Arabidopsis thaliana: one gene and its partners. The protein of the gene in region 1 interacts with the protein of each later gene in a pairwise test. Each region holds a gene or a part of one and is shown on either strand. Other genes may lie near its edges.

Region 1 (7,880 bases):
AGTCTCTCAGTTGTGATTTGGTCCAATTAATTTATTTGGTAGTTAGAAATGCAGACGGTATGATTATCCTTGGTATTAGTCGGAAGGCATTTCAAATTAGAACCTAACAGTGTGGTGATCCAATTCTACCTAAATCGGGAGAAATTCATTCTGTAGTATTTCGTTGCGTTCCTACTGAAACTGATAAAATAAGTCGATAGAGTATATAAAAAACAAACAAAAAGTCAGATATTTTCTATATACTCTTCTTGGACAAGTTCCTAATTCTTCTCATCCTTTATAGATTACATCGAGAGATCCGATTAAAGGGTTGTTGATTGGCTTTGGTTATCTCACTCGGTTTAGTGAGATCGACGAACCAATAGTAAAACGCAGTCGTTTTTAAGCTTTGCTCTGTTTCTGTTGTTTGAAAGCTCAAGTCGTCGACTGAGCTATAGCTAATGAAGAGTTGTTTGAGCTCTTTCTCTGATCTTCGTTCAACTAGCTAACCGATTTGGTTGCTAAACAAGCTCAAAAGATGAATCAAAATGGTCTCGTCTCAAGTTATAAGAAGATGTTATATATGGAAAAGTTATTATTAGAACATTACAATGTTTAAACGACTAACCAAATCTGATACAGTACAAACGATCCCGTGGGATTAATACTTACGCTAAGATCAACACTGAACCGTCGTCTTAGACGTTGTCGTTTAACAACATACACTAGTCATGGCAAGCTACATTACTTCGGTGAAAGAAAAAAAAACCTTCAAAATCTCTAGATTGTGAACCTACTGTATGTACAGAAACCAAAATGCATATCAATCAGCAGAATCGGTCCACTCTTCCGGCTGCGGAGAGAGAAAAAAAACTCGCCGGAAGATTGGATTACGACGAAGGTGAGATAGGATTAGGTTTGAATGATTTGGCAACGGATTTATAGAGATTCTCTTCTTCAAAAGGTTTGGAGACGTAACCATCCATCCCACTTTTCAGACATTCCTCGTAGGTCGCGTGTATCACATCCGCAGTCATCGCTAGAATCGGTAAATGCCATTCGAGATTTGTCTTCTCTTTAGTTTCCTTCTCCATCATTCTTATCTGACGAGTTGCTTCAAATCTGAGAATCAATGAAGTTTATAAAAGATTTTAACCGAATCCGAACCAAACCAAGTCAGTTATAATTTGGCGGGAAATTTTTCATACCGAACAATTCAAAAACCGAATAATCCAAAAATAGTATTAGTTGTGATTTAGTTACCCGTCCATCTGTGGCATTTGAATATCCATGAAGCAAGCATCGAAAGTGTGTGGAATCTGAAGCAAACCCAAAGCAACTTGACCACTCTCTGCACAAACCACTTCTGCTCCAAATTTCTTGAGAGCTCCTGCAGCTACTCTCCTGTTAACTATATTATCATCAACCACAAGAATCTTCTTCCCTGTAAGCAAGCTCTTGAGAGTTGCGGGTGATGATCCTTCTGGATGTTGTTGTCTTGTTTTTCTCAGCTCGAGAACTTGTTGCAGACACGCCCCAATCATGCTTGCTCTTAACGGTTTCATTATTACCGTATCTGCAAATCCTGCGGATTTAGCTCTGTCGAACTCCGAATTTGTGATGTTTGTTGCGAATAGAGCTAGTTTCGGAGACTTGTGATGAACGTTTCCGTTGGTTCTTGAATTCAATAAACGAATCTCTGAGTCATTATCTTCAGTTGAAATCCATGAATCTTTCTCTACTAAGATCATATCAAGTTGCGGTTTTGTTGGGAGAGGAGAACCGTTTCTTTCAAACGCAGCAGCTGCAACAACAGCGGTTTTGAGACTTGTCACGACATCAACATTGATTCCGAGTCTTTTCATATGGTATCTAGTCACAGCAGCTCTAACAGGCTTAGCATCAACAACTATAGCTTTCATTCCTTTAAAAGTAGAAGGCAAGTGTTCCACATTAGGTTTCTTCATATGGTTAATCGCACTGCATTTATCGCATTTCTCTAAAACAGCCGTGAACCAGAACGTGCTTCCAATATGAGGCCGGCTTATGAAATTTATCTGACCACGCATAAGTTCAACAAGACACTTGCTTATACTCAAACCAATACCAGTACCTCCATAGTTTCTTGAAGTCGAGCTATCTGCTTGCATAAACGGCATAAACACACGGCCTTGCGCAACTAAAGGGATTCCAATACCCGTGTCTTCGATTGAAACCATAAGCCTAACATTGCTAGAAATATCAAACTCCGATAATGACTGCTCCTCAGAGACCAAATGCTTGAATGAATCCCAGCTATTCCGACCATCAGCAGCTTCGTAACCGCTCAATGTGTTGTAACTTGACTGTTTGGAAACAACGATCATTTCTTCAGACACTCCACCATTCAATGCATTTTTCGGTTCAGATTCATCTTTTGATTGTTCCGCAAGATGGACTTTAACAAAGATATGTCCTTTCTCTGTGAACTGTCAAAAAGACAACATCTTGATCAAACAAAAATCATATACACAAGCTGCCAACAAAGGCAGAGATTGAAATAGGGACTAACTTTAACCGAATTTCCAACAAGGTTTATGATTATCTGTCTAAATCTCCCTGAATCTCCTTTGACTATCTCTGGTACTTTGTCTGAAACGAAAACCGCGAGCTGCCAAATTTGAAATCAAGAAATTAGCAGCCACAACTCCAAATAGATGTATCTTTATTCCTTGGATTGAAAACTTACCTCAATGCTTTTGTTCCTTGACTCCTCAGAGAATAGAGAAAGGACATCATCCAATATTGAACGGATATCAAATGGTACTGATTCCAACTCCAGCTTTCCAGCTTCAATCTTGGCGCGATCAAGAACCTCATTTATCAATGCAATCAAAGCTTTACCACATACTTGAGCGGTTTGAGCGTAATCTCTCTGTGTCGAGCTTAGTTCTGTATCTAGGAGCATAGCAAGCATTCCTGCAGAAAATTTTTAAAACAGAATCTTTGAGGCAGTTTGAGAAACCAAAGATGAAAGGCAACAGTACTGGAATTTGTTTGAAGATGTAGTACCGAGAATGCCATTCATTGGTGTCCTGATCTCGTGAGACACGGTAGCAAGAAACTGCGATTTAGCGACATCAGCAGCTTCTGCTCGAACTTTAAGCTCTTGCATTTCATGGAAATCATCTTCGACTTTTACTATGTGCATAGCTGCACCATACAGTATATAACCCACCAAGAAACCAATCGCAAAGAACAATGGCACAGTTGTGAGCACATTCAACGGTATTGGTGCCTTTTGGTGGTACCTGCACTCGAAATTGTTCAAACAAGATATCAGTTTTTAGATATCAGAGAGTATTTTAGCTTTAAGATTTTCTGTGTGGTACCTGCATATCATCTTATGTTTCCTGAAGGGGTCTCCAAAATCGAGCTTGCTCTCATGAGAGAGAGATCTGTCGGCTTCTTCATCTTGATTACCATACATGACAAGTGGATCTGATGCATTGGTGATATCATACACATGCACAACTATTGCTTGGTTACCAGCAAGCTGACCAAGTAAATTCTCGACTAGAGACTCCACATCAAACGCACCACCAAGGTACCTGCATTTCAAATTCAAGCATCAATCTTTACTTTACACACAAACCAATCTTGAAATCTCAAAAAACCTCTTTCCTTTACATGATCACACACATAAACCAATCATGAAATCTCGAAAATCTCTTTTTACATGATCACAAGCAAAAGTTTGCTCCAGTAATCAGATGGGAACTTTACCCTGCAGTGGCTGCAATACGCTCTTCGACAGTCGGATTTTCAGGAAGAGAAGACTTGTAGACAGGGAATGTCAACACAACTCCGAGATGGTGAGTTTCCAACAACCTAAAAGGGCTAGTCAAGACAGCTTTTCCGGTTTCTCTAGCTCGCAAAATATTCTCACGATCCTCCTGCAGAAAAGATAGCCAAAATTCAGAAGAGGTGCAGGTCGGATACTTAACCGAAAAAACAAAACCATAAGTGTCTGATAATGTTTATATTACCTCGCCTGACATCATATCGAGTGACTCAAGGTAAGAGACACTATCTTGAGAGAATATAACAGGAGCATACTCATCCCTAACCGGTGAAGGCTCTCCTCTATCCATTGTCTTTATAACCCAATTGTGCTGCCGCTCAAACATCTCCCTCTCAAAATTCACAACTTTTTCAGCATAAGCCACTCCACTTAGCAACGGTCTCTCAAATGCTGTTCTTGCCGTGTACTCCGCAAATGTCTCCTGCAAAATTAGCCACAAACCAATGAGTAAAGCAAAGGCCTAAATTTCCCTTCATTTACTCAATAACCAAACATAAAAGAGTAAATTTCAAAAACTTCTGGTTCCAAAAAAAGTCAACTTTGCATTTATGAATCAAAAATTTCACCAAAGCTTTGAGCTTTTAATAAAGCACACACTGACCTGATCAATTGCAGAAGGGTTCTTGTGGTAATGAAAAGTGGAGACGAGAATAGCCAAAGCATGAACATGATTAACACTAACACTAAATTGATCCTGCAACATTCTAGCTCTTTGATCACACATGCTGACCAAAACCTCTTCCCTTCTAATCTTATTAGCATCATCCATCCACTGATAAATCCCACTGCTTATAAACCCAACAATGATGATCCACAGAATCAAAGCTTTTGGTAACAATGCTCGATGTTCTTGTATGAAAGTTGACCCTTTTTTATTACCCATTAGATCGTTATTATTATTATTGTTCATCTTCACCGCCACTGAATGCTGAAGCTGTTGCTGCTGCTGCATCTTCGCAAAACCCATCAACCCCGAACGCCAAAAATCGATCTTTCTCGGCTTTTCTGACGAATTCAGAGCACCACCACCACCCAGTTGATAAAAATCGCTGCTTTTCAAGTTTTCTAGTGACTCGGAATCAGAAATTTCAATTCTTCGTGGCTCTTCTTCTTCTTCTTGATGATTGTTGAGTGCCCAGTTCATATCTGAGCTACAACAATAGAGAACAAAAGAAGAAACAATAGTGAAAGAAAACAAAAGTTAGAGCCTTTTTTGCATACATATAACATAAAAGCATTGGTAGTGTAGTTATGATTAAGAATGTTACCATAAACATAGTTTATAGTACAGAAACAAACCCTAGAAACCTGTAGACGAAAAAGGACATGTTTTTGCGAATTCAAGAACAAAAGAGAGAAAGAAACGCATGGTTCTCAAAAGAAGCAACTTTGCTCAGTTTCCAAAGGTTTCTTACAGAGAAGAATTAAAAACTAAGTAATTATTGTCAGAGAAATTAATTAATACTAAAAAACACACTAATCAATCATAAGCTCTTTACAGGCGTGATTGTTTATTATTGGAACAAGAACATAGCTATGTTCACTGTCTCAAATCCAACAATAGAAAAAAAATTAAAGCTTTGACCAAAGAAAGAAAGAACACAGAGAGAAACATAACATTAGGAAGAACGACTAATAAGCAAGCACATGGAGAAATTATTTTAGTTACCTGTAATGAGTTGTGAGAGGATTGAACATTGCATTATTATTATACACAAAATCTCTTCTCATCACTTCAAATGTAGGTATTCCATTTTCTTTCTTCTTTCTTCTTCTTTTGTTTTAGTGAGATTTTTTGCTTTTAAAAGTAAGAAAAAAATTGAATCGAATTTTTTAGATTTTCTTCAGATACGTTTCTCTCTCTCTGTGTCTCTGTCTATATCAGTTTTTTGCCATGAACTTTCTTTTCATTTTTATATCTCTCTAGCTCTTTTTTCTTTTTCTAACTTGAGTCCAACTTTGAAGAAGAAAAGTTTTGGACTTTTTCTTAATGGCTCATGATATGATCCATCCAACAAAAGTTATTATTTTACCCAAAATCTCCTCAAAGTTAACATTATTATACGAAATAGATATATTTTCTCTAACCGAATTGTCGGTATTTACTGTGTATTTAGAGAAATTGCAAAGCGACAATGAAGAATTCACAAACTTCTCTTTATCTATAATTTTTTATAATGCTAATATAAAAGCGTATAATTTGGCGCGGAAGATCCGCACCGAACCGCATCATATCACATTTGTAAATAATATCCCTCAGGATTGGTTTACTTGAGCTTTAATAATTTTGGATGACAAAAAAAAAAATATAATTATTGTGACACTAACTAGGTTTGTCTTACTAATTAAAACATCTTTAAAACTACATTTATTCAATTTCATTACATTTCTTATACATCATTTAACATTTAAAGTAACATTTACCATGTTTAAATTTCTTGAATAAGTGAAGTAATATATAGTCACCAACTTCTCAAAATTTATTATCTATTTTTTCCTTGGTATAAATAAGTTTTCTGAACTTTAGAAATAAAACGTTTTGTTTTGTTTTTTTACTTACACCAAAAGGAAAATAAAACGTTTTTTTGTTGAAATATAAGAAAACAAAAAATATAGGTGAGTGAGAGACTTTGTACGAGAGTCGCTATCGCATATCTTTGGCGATAATGACATCGCGACAAAGCGCAGATCTGGCCCCATAGACCTTTTACCTGAAATACCCACCATTCTAGTCTCTTAACTACGAAAATACCCCGGTTAAATGGGCCTGACTCATAAGCCCATGATTTATCCACGTGTAATTCTTAAGACAATTGCATGAGTTGATTCAGGAGATTTTAGAATTCAAAATTTATGAATAACAATCAAATTATTTATTTACTACTAGTATTATACGGTAAACTATTTTTTATATTATTTAGAGTGTTTCTTTTTTTTGTAATAGCAAATTGTTATGACCTAACCACAAATTTAAAATGCTCATGAATTTCTAAAAACGTTAAAAACAAAAAATCATTAAATTATTACATGTTTGAGGCAATAGTAAATCAATCCCATTAAATTAGTACCATATTAAATGATAACATAGTTATGAGTTTTATAATGAAAAATACAGAAAAAAACATAGAGCTATTATTAAAGATACATGAAAATATTATTATTACCTTATATGTGTAGATGGAAACTGACGTGGGTTGTGTAGCTTTCTCTCGTGCGCTTAGAGACAGTAGCTTCTATAACTACATGATATTTGAGAGAAGTTTTTGAATATTCAAATGGATTTTAGGAACACTTGTATGGTTCCTTTGAAATATGCAGAATTAGAACTTAAAGCAAGATTGATAAACATAGAGAAGATACGTGTTTGGGATACCTTAATTTCATGGCTTGATCAGAAGCTTTCAGTCATAGATGAATGCAGTGTAGTTTCTTTTTCCGCTATTGATTCTTTGATCGCTGCACATGTCACAGAATTTTAGTAATGATTTTTGTTACAGATTTCTATATATGTTTATAACAGAGGCCAGTGAAACTCACATTGTGCTCTTCCGAGAAAGAAAAAACAAACAATGAATCTGGAATAAAGTGAAATTAACCTAAGAAAAATAGAAGACAATAAACTTGGATCGAATACCATTTTTTCTATACAATTTCATATCGATGGATCTGGGAATGATTTTTTTTTTTTTTTGGAGGAAGCAAGAGCAAGAGATAGATTTAACGTGAATTGGATTTTTGTAGAGGAAGATAAAACGGTTTGGAAAATCTTGAGTTGGTTACAAATTTCCAAAGATAATGATGGTGTGGTGTGTGAGAAAATCTAGGAATATTTTTTTGTTTTTAAATATGTAGAAAAAAAAAATGAGCGTTTTTTTTTTAAAAAATTTTAAATAATTCTTTAAATTATAAACAAATCTTATGTGGCATAATTTTATTGGGCAAGGGACTTGTACTTTATATTATAAAGGAAAAAGAATTTATTTTATTTTCTTTTTTGTTCTTTTATTTTATTTTTTAATATATATATATATTAAAATTTAACTCAAATGGGTTTGGG
Region 2 (3,623 bases), on another chromosome or scaffold:
ACTAATTGTGACGGATTTGTGATTGTATTTTGGTCGTAAAATGTAACGGGCCAGTGACTTAAATATGGTAATAATCTGTGACAAGTATGTTACGATTTTATTGTCACTAGTTGTGGCATAGTTGTGACAGTATCGTTCGTCACGAATTGTATCCGTTTTTGCGACTATAATAACGTCGTCACAATCAGTGACAAATTGTTACTGTTGTTAATCGTCACATTCGTTTGTGACCTTTTTGAGACATACATAGATTTGTGACGATTTTATTGTGACATTTTAAAATTTGTTTCAGTTTCGACACAAAAAAATTATTGTGACCGAATATCTTTTTATTGTAACTATAATAATCGTATCAATATTCAGTTTTTATTGTAGTGGGGGTGATCTTATGACTTACAAAGAAGTGATTCTTGGTCGTGTAGACATATCAGTGTCACTGCAGTTTAATCCCTCCCACATAAACTGCCGAGGGACACATGGATCTCCTTGCCAGCTATTTCTACTAATTTCATAGGTGGTTTTGATGTTTTGGACAGCAACCACTGACATAACATGTTTTAGTTTATGATACTTGAGTTAACACAGAAATAATTTGACTACCTTTCTAAACATAAAACAATAGTATAGACCTTATATGCATAACATACCGTCGTTTTCATTTGTTTCGATCTGCGGAAACTGGATAACTGTGTAGACCTCAAAAGCGTTAAGCAAAGGTGGAAGAGTTGATCTGTTGGTTCTTCTCAGCTGAAAACTGCATTTTCCTCCTTCACAAGTACTTGGTGACTGGCTAAAGATAGTATAAATAGTGAATTTTGGAGGTATTAAAGGGTCGGCGATGACTTGTCTATTCCAAAACATGTTAAATTCCCTTGTATCGTTGGTCTGCAACTCTTGGATCTCAGCAAAATGTCCATACAAGTAATATTGGTTATTGACATTACTCGAACTCCATTCCATCGTCAATGGTGCAGTTGAATTAGTAGATATTGCAGCAGTTTTGAGTGCTTCTTTTGGTGGAAAATATTTGTTTGAATTGCTCACTTCCAGGGTGGTGGAAATGTGGGTCCATTCATTCCTTGAAAACGTAGTCCATACACGATCATAGACATCATTCCGGTACCTTGTGACACAAACAACAGCGCATGTATGAAATAAACATAAACGGACATGTAAGGCAAATAAAAGCTCTGGTTACATGAGAAGAGGTCTTTAGTGTGCAAATATAAAAATGGTATATGACTGAAACAAATGAGTAAATGTATTTTCTATCGAAAAACACAAGAAGACTAGGAAAATAATCTCCGGACATCACAATCAAGAACTTGAATAGCCTAACATTATCCTAAGAAACATATGTAAATTTCTTGGTCAGACGATATAGGCAACTTGGTTTTTGAAAGACCAGTTCAATTGATCTCAACTGTTATATAGTTTATCATTCTATAGCTAATACAATAAGAATGTTCATAGAGAGAGAGCAATACACACGGATTTGAATTTGTAGTGGTCTCTAACTTGAATTGGTCCATTTTTCCATGTTTTCTCTAATGAAACAAGCTTTGACAATTTCCTTTCACAATAATAGCTTCGAACCAAGAAATTATAGACAGATCAATCTTGAAGCTAATTCAAAGAGCAGCACCGTGGTAAAACGTACAAATAGAAGTGGATTAACATGAGAAAAAACAATTCCAGAGTGCTTGAAACGCAGTCGCGGGAAATTCGCGTTTTAAACGCAACGGTCATTAGTGGCCTTTTACAAATTAACTAGAAGACTTATTGGGCCTTTATTGAGTTTTGGATAGCCCATTAAATATCCAGAAAGAATTCGGATCCAGTAACTATTACCTATCCATCAGTGTTTTGTTGTCACTTTCATCTGTCTCTACGCGAAGCAGTCTCCGACTCATCCAGATACCAAAGTTTAGAGAGAAGACCAAAGAGAACAAAAAGAGAAAAAGAGAAAGATGAGGTTGTTCGATCCATGGCCAGTGTTCTTCAAGAGAGAATGGAAACGTTGTTGGCCGTTTCTCACCGGATTCGCCGTTACCGGCGTTCTCATCACCAAGCTCACCGCTGGACTCACTGGTAAGTCTCTTCAGATCTGACCAATCGTCATCGGAAATGAAAGAGCTAATCCTCAATTGATCCGTATTTGTGGAATCGGATCGGATATATTGATGTATTGTGTCTCAGTATTGATTGTTGGATCGCTGGTTGTGAAACCCTAATTAGTAAATGTATTGACTCATTTTGCAGAGGAAGACGCCAAGAACTCCAAGTTTGTCCAACAACACAGGCGGTAATGTCTTTCTCTTTCGATCATATCAATGTTAAATTTCGATTTGGAAGCTGAATTCAAATCTGTATGTGATTTCTCTGCATCTGTTAATTGAATCTTATTAAGTCACCTACTTCATTCAGATGGCTTAGAATTTTATTGTAATTCATGATTTTGATATCTGGTTTTCTCCAATAGCCTGTACAAAATCTCAATGTGTAATGTTTGATTTGTCTTGCATCTGTTTCTTGAGCCAGTTTGGTTCTGTATATATTTTGTAATGCTTGATGCATTGTGAGCCATACATGAGTTTCCAACATCATTCAGATTAACTAAGTGTGTTTGATCAGACTCTTGTAATAACAAGATTTGAATCCTTGATAGATTTAGGATTTCACAGGATTCCAACACACTTACCATTCTCTATGTTTGTTCATGTTCTGTTGTGAAATCTCAGGTGATCTACTGACGTGAGTTGTCGAAGCTGAGAAGCCGAAGCGTTCTTATGGAAACTACTGAGAGTGCTTCAGCTTTCAAACCTGTTCTAATAACATGAAAGAGAGGATTATAGACACTATCAATCTCTCGTTTCCTTTTCTCTGTGTTTTCACAACTCTTGAACAGTGCAAATTCTACTCTGTTTATCCAATTTTTTTCCTTTGCAATGAATTTCTTCTTCTCTTTTTGTTCCCCAATAAGAATATATGGTTAAGTATATAGCCTCCACTTGCTGATCAAACATCCATTGTTGGTTAAAATATGCAAAATTACTAAATATAAATCTTTGATGCAAAAAAAAATAGAATAACTATCAAGAAACTATTGTTTAAATATAATTTAAGTATGACACTCTTTAGCAAAATGAAAATAAGAAAACTTGAATATAATGTTCAGCAATAGCAGAGACGAAGTTGATTATATAATCCATCACCATTACTCATTAAAACATGCACAAGTAAAGGAACAAGCTTGAGTTTTTCTTTCTCTGAGATTTGAGTAAAAGAGTGTTGTTGACGGGAACTGTATTTATAGATACAGGGTTACAGTATGTCGGTTTTCCTATTCCTTAGGTAAACGTGAAAAGCTCTTATATCTAGAAATATATTGAATTTATCTATATAACTTAATTAACCATAATTGAGAATAAGATTAATTTCTCACCACATGTACAAAATAATTATTTCATGAGTATTAAACCAACTAAGAAAAACATTTTAATATAACTTATGGGATTATTGCAAGCCAAGATCTTTCTTCAATTGAGCAAGAGTTGCTTCGATCTCATCAATATTGTCTTCTATACTATTCTTTGTGCTACTATTATTCTTCCCGGAAGATT
Region 3 (4,810 bases), on another chromosome or scaffold:
TCCCCGGACTTGGTATCACACGTGATACCCTCCCAATTACAACAGTCGCTGTTATTCCTCCATGACTCTGTCGTCGGATGAGGGCTTACACGGCTATTATTGCGATAGCAATAATCATTAGAGGAAGGCTTCCCAATCTCAAACTCGTTCTTGAGTTCGAGAAGTGCATCCCTTTGTTCGGGAAGACACAAGTGCCTAGTAGGAGCTGCAACCACGTCCGCAAAATTGTGAATGAATGAGAGGAGAAAGGAAAGTGTAACAGGGATGATGATACTCGTTGGATTCCAAGAGCCTGTCATCCTTCTCTATGCTTAATTAGCATTCTTGAATATCGATTATGAAAAAGAAAATATAGAGATTTCGATGGTAGGTAGAATAATTTAATTCGCACCCATCTGTTTAATTCACATAATAGAAGACTTATATTAAGATACTAGGGAATTCTGTTAAACGCAAAGAATAAAAGACTAAGTCAAGTTGAATAGTCAATTTCCACACATTTTTGTCGTACTATAAAATATACGTGCAGAAATTGAAAAGGTTGCTTGTCCAGAAACTGAGAAATCCATGAAAAAGAATGGAAAATAAAGAGTAATCTACTTATTGGTTCCTTGAATAAAGGATAAATGTAAAACCAAAAAAGGAGGAAGTTTTGATGGCAAGTGTAAACTGTAAATTTTCTTAGCACAGTTTTAAATTTATCCAATCAAGGGTTCATCCGCATCAATGCATCAATCATTCAACCAATTAATGGTGGTTCTTTTCTCTTTATTATCATTCCTCGTGGATCCAGAAATGAGAAATCCATGCAAACATAACAAAAAGAATCGACTCTCTATGTAAAGTTTTCTCGATTCAACAATAGATCAAAGATTCTACCAGACATTGGGACACGGCTTTAAGAAAAAGAAAATAATGAAAGGCCATATCATATGGAGTACCTTGATTCTTCAGCAAAAATTTCTCAGGACGAAGCAGAGAATGTCAAGAAAACCCCTGATCTCGCTTGATCGTGTTCCTGTTTCTTCAATATGTGGCAGTAGTTAAGCTGTCTCATAACAAAACAAAAACGATGGATAATTTTGGTGTTAATCATTGCACTTTCATTCGATAAAAATGCATAAGGGAGAGTAGTGATGAGAACCAAACCTCCATACGGAATAGGCTTGTTGGTAAGACGATTCCAGCACCAACTGAAGTTCTGAATGTCTCCAAGAACTTTGGAGCAGTGAAGTTTCTAAACTCATTCTCTGATAACTTCGCCATATTCCCTGCACAGGCAAACACATGACCGTGGATTCCTCTCTCTCTTAACCATCTCACTGGCAAATCAAATGAGAGATCCGCAAATGCAGTCACTGCCGCATCTCCTCCAACAAAATCCCGTTCACTATCACCTTTCCTCTTTGGCTCACTGGGACCAACTCCTCTGGTCTTGAATCCCCACAGCGCAGATGGCCCACTCAAGGAGCACACAGGCGATGAATTGCCACCCAAGAAGAATCTCTCTGGTATAGATGAAGGACGGTTCTGGTATCCGCTTCCCCACGGAAAGGAGACACCCCCAGACACACCAAAATTTATAGCAGCATTGTAAAATCCAAACGGAACAGCATACCGAAGATCAACTTCCTGACCAAACAAATGAAAATAGATGCTAAAACTATCAGATGTCTTAGATTCTTGTTATTCCCTCTCACAGTGAGCATAAATTTCAGACATACTAGGGAAGATATGTATGAAAACAAGGGACTGAAACCACAGAATTTGCTGTGTAAGAACTTACAACCTTCCAAACTTAAAATAAAGGTCATCTAAATGTTGGCAACAAGAAAGAAGAGGAGACCAACCTGCTTCAGGAAGCGTAAGCTTCGGCTATCAGGAGCAAGACCACCAATTTGAGATGTAGAGATGAAAGCATATCCATTAGTTGGCCTCAAGCTTGAGTTTCTCTGATCAAACCTAAAAGTATACTTCAACGCAGAAAGCAGACTGTGTCCCAGTTGTCTCCTTATTGATACTGCAGCAGCTTGTGATGGATCGATCAGATTACGCCACGCAATCGTGTAGATCAGCTCGTGATACTTGCTTGAGAAAAGACCAAGAGAAAGACCGAGGGATCGTTCTTTATACGATGAAAACTTAAGCCAGTCTTGAGTCGAAAGGAAAAGACGGGAAGTAAAAGGAGTAGACAATCCTCTGAACCTTGGCAAATACATCCCCAAACCAACCTCAGCAGAGTTGTCACAGCCATAAACTATAGACCCGTCCCAAATATCTCCATAACCAAAAATGTTCTTATACTTCAAAGATGCTTCAACGCTTGATGATCTAGCCTACAAGAGCATCACAGTATTGAAGAACAAAAACAGCTTCATGAAGATGACAAATTCAACTCTATAGAAACCAATACGTAATAAACCAACACAATTTAAACATAGCAGTGAATTGTTACTATTAAAGCAATACCTCTGCTCTAGTGTAGGCACCAATTTGGCCGGTGAGAGGGCTTTTGCTCTCGACGACGTCGATTACCACATTGGTAGTACCAGGAAGCTCAGGAGGACCAGAATCAAGCGTAATGTTGACGGAATCAAAGATATCTAACGCACGGAGATTCGAATTGGCAACCCTAGATGCTTCGAGAAGCTCTTGCAACGTGGTCGCCTCTCTCACAGCATCCACTTCCGCTTCAATGATATGGTCCTTAGTCTTCTCGTTTCCACCGATAATCACGTCGTGAACACGCACCGGCACAGGAGCAGCTCGCATCCGACGGAATAGCGATTCCGCCTTGATTCTGTCTACACTGGATCCGCTTTCGCGCGTTTGAGATTTCGACTCGGTGTCATCGTCTTCTCCATCGTCATCTTCTCCTCCATCGTCACCTTCGTATCCGTTCAGTTCTTCAACTTCTTCTTCAGCTTCTGGTTCTCGGATTTGTGGATTCGCGTCGAGGTTCTCCGTCGGATTCGCCATGAGACAGAGAGATAGTAACTGAGAGAGTACAACGATTTCGAGTTTTCGGCGAATCCAGGAATCAATTTGACGACTATAAGTCCACAGGCGTCTATGTAACCTTCTAGATAGTGTAGAGGGTGTTTATGAGCTCTTTTGCTTCTTGAACGATGTCGTTTTAGCAATTTCATTGACTATGCCATATTGCAATTACTAAAAGGGACATCATGCAAAAGAGCAAAACATGAGCTACGCACATATTTCTATTAGGTAATCAAAAGAGATATGAGTTGGATTTAAGTGGTTTTGTTAATTGACATTGGATGGAGTAGTCACATTGTCTGTGCAAACTATTTTGCTAAAGCAGTGTTGGATTTGTTTTGAGTAGATGGACTTAAAGGAACCTATGGAAGACATAAAACAACATGTTTTGGTGAGCCTGTAGATCTTGTTAGTTTCTTAATATTGCTAGAAGTCAGAATCAGAGACAACGCCACATCTTGCTAGAAGTTTCTTAATATTATTTTATATTTATATTTTTATTTTTGTTAGTAAGTTTCGTTGTGAGGTGAAGATCTTTTTAGCATGTGTATAATAAATCTAAAAAGCCTTCAAAGACAAGAAGTCGAAAACCCTATTATTGGGACATGTCGTATATTCTTTTGATATGTTTTAGTTCCTATAGTTTAGGAGTTTGAGCTTATCACATACAATGACTCTTGTATAAATACACATGTTTTGTGAATCAATAAAGATTAGTCAGTTCAATACCTAGTTCTACACCTATTTCACCATCCCTATATTAAGTCTCTGAAACCCATCACACGAGGAGAGATAAAGCCTTTTAAAAAAGAGAGAGAGAGAGATGAGATACTTAATGGAGAAGATGAAGAGTAAAAGAGATGTGATTGTATGCAGAGGATTATGGTATGCAATGACTCTACTCTCCATCTTTGGCCTCTCCATATCCCTCAACCTTCTCTTGCCATCTGGTGACTCCTCGTCTCGGTTCCTAAGAGACGGTGCGGTCAGTGCCACAACATTCTACGCAGTGACGATACTCAGATATCTTTTCTTCACCGATCCTCCCTCCACTTGCTACACGGAGTTTACTACACCTAAAAAGAGGATTCCTCAGGTTGTGTTCTCGGAGCTTGCCTTGTACCTAGTGTTCATAACGCCGCTAGCTTGTTCACTCGTGTTTACGGAGAACGTGTTGTCTTTGTTATACATATCGTTATTCACCATATCGTTGTTCACCGGAGGGATAGGGCTTATTCAGCTAACGGAAAAGTGTAGGATGGAGACGAGACATGCTTTGATCACGCTTTTCTTCGGTTGGTTGTTTGGTCTTTTTGGCATCTTTGAAGCTTTATACTCTAAGGACTATAACGGAGTGGCATTGTTCGTTACCAGTCTTTATGTATTGGTTTCCTTTGGGCTCTTTGCGTATAATTTCCCCTCGGAGAAGGAGAAGGACTTGCATACTTTGACTGCATCTCCCGAAACGCTTGTCTGATTACACATACATTCTTTCTTATTAATTTGAGCAATTTTTTTCCTGTCAAATTGCTTACATAATTAAGTACGTACTAATGGTATTGTTAGTCCATCGATATTCGAAGAATCAGTTTTTGTTAACTTCTCTTCTCTTTTATTTTTTTTTTGCCATTTAGTTGAGAACTTGAGATTACGTGAGCTATAAAAAATGTGAGAGTTTGAATATGTACCCTTTGCAGCTTGTCGATAACAACTCCTCATCTTTAAGAGACAGAATCAACATTGAACCCTTCCTTAGCCCATAATCATGGACTCTAGTTTCGACTCCACGTAGGGTTATAAATCATTAAAG

The links.
Region 2: the proteins of WOL (region 1) and AT5G59613 interact in a two-hybrid assay, tested with the Arabidopsis thaliana proteins (one large-scale study listed by BioGRID).
Region 3: the proteins of WOL (region 1) and AT3G11070 interact in a two-hybrid assay, tested with the Arabidopsis thaliana proteins (one large-scale study listed by BioGRID).

What each region holds. Positions count from the first base shown.
Region 1 is NC_003071.7:362,463-370,342, forward strand, and holds WOL (CHASE domain containing histidine kinase protein), read right to left. Parts: upstream 5,896-7,880; 5' UTR 5,555-5,895; coding exon 5,493-5,554; exon of another isoform or gene 4,975-5,492; coding exon 4,425-4,974; intron 4,245-4,424; coding exon 4,008-4,244; intron 3,915-4,007; coding exon 3,745-3,914; intron 3,570-3,744; coding exon 3,351-3,569; intron 3,270-3,350; coding exon 3,031-3,269; intron 2,938-3,030; coding exon 2,708-2,937; intron 2,630-2,707; coding exon 2,531-2,629; intron 2,448-2,530; coding exon 1,243-2,447; intron 1,102-1,242; coding exon 870-1,101; 3' UTR 521-869; downstream 1-520. UniProt on the Arabidopsis thaliana protein: Cytokinins (CK) receptor related to bacterial two-component regulators. Also binds the synthetic urea-type cytokinin thidiazuron, a potent defoliant and herbicide. Functions as a histidine kinase and transmits the stress signal to a downstream MAPK cascade.
Region 2 is NC_003076.8:24,014,848-24,018,470, reverse strand, and holds AT5G59613 (ATP synthase), read left to right. Parts: upstream 1-1,860; 5' UTR 1,861-1,970; coding exon 1,971-2,091; intron 2,092-2,262; coding exon 2,263-2,305; coding exon of another isoform or gene 2,306-2,309; exon of another isoform or gene 2,310-2,741; coding exon 2,742-2,745; 3' UTR 2,746-3,077; downstream 3,078-3,623. Other genes in the region: AT5G59616 (Interleukin-1 receptor-associated kinase 4 protein), read right to left, coding at 394-542, 648-960; AT5G59610 (Chaperone DnaJ-domain superfamily protein), read right to left, coding at 3,517-3,623. UniProt on the Arabidopsis thaliana protein: Mitochondrial membrane ATP synthase (F(1)F(0) ATP synthase or Complex V) produces ATP from ADP in the presence of a proton gradient across the membrane which is generated by electron transport complexes of the respiratory chain.
Region 3 is NC_003074.8:3,465,970-3,470,779, reverse strand, and holds AT3G11070 (Outer membrane OMP85 family protein), read right to left. Parts: upstream 3,077-4,810; 5' UTR 2,980-3,076; coding exon 2,470-2,979; intron 2,337-2,469; coding exon 1,851-2,336; intron 1,633-1,850; coding exon 1,150-1,632; intron 1,049-1,149; coding exon 965-1,048; 3' UTR 547-964; downstream 1-546. Other genes in the region: RLP35 (receptor like protein 35), read right to left, coding at 1-299; AT3G11060 (uncharacterized protein), read left to right, coding at 3,836-4,477.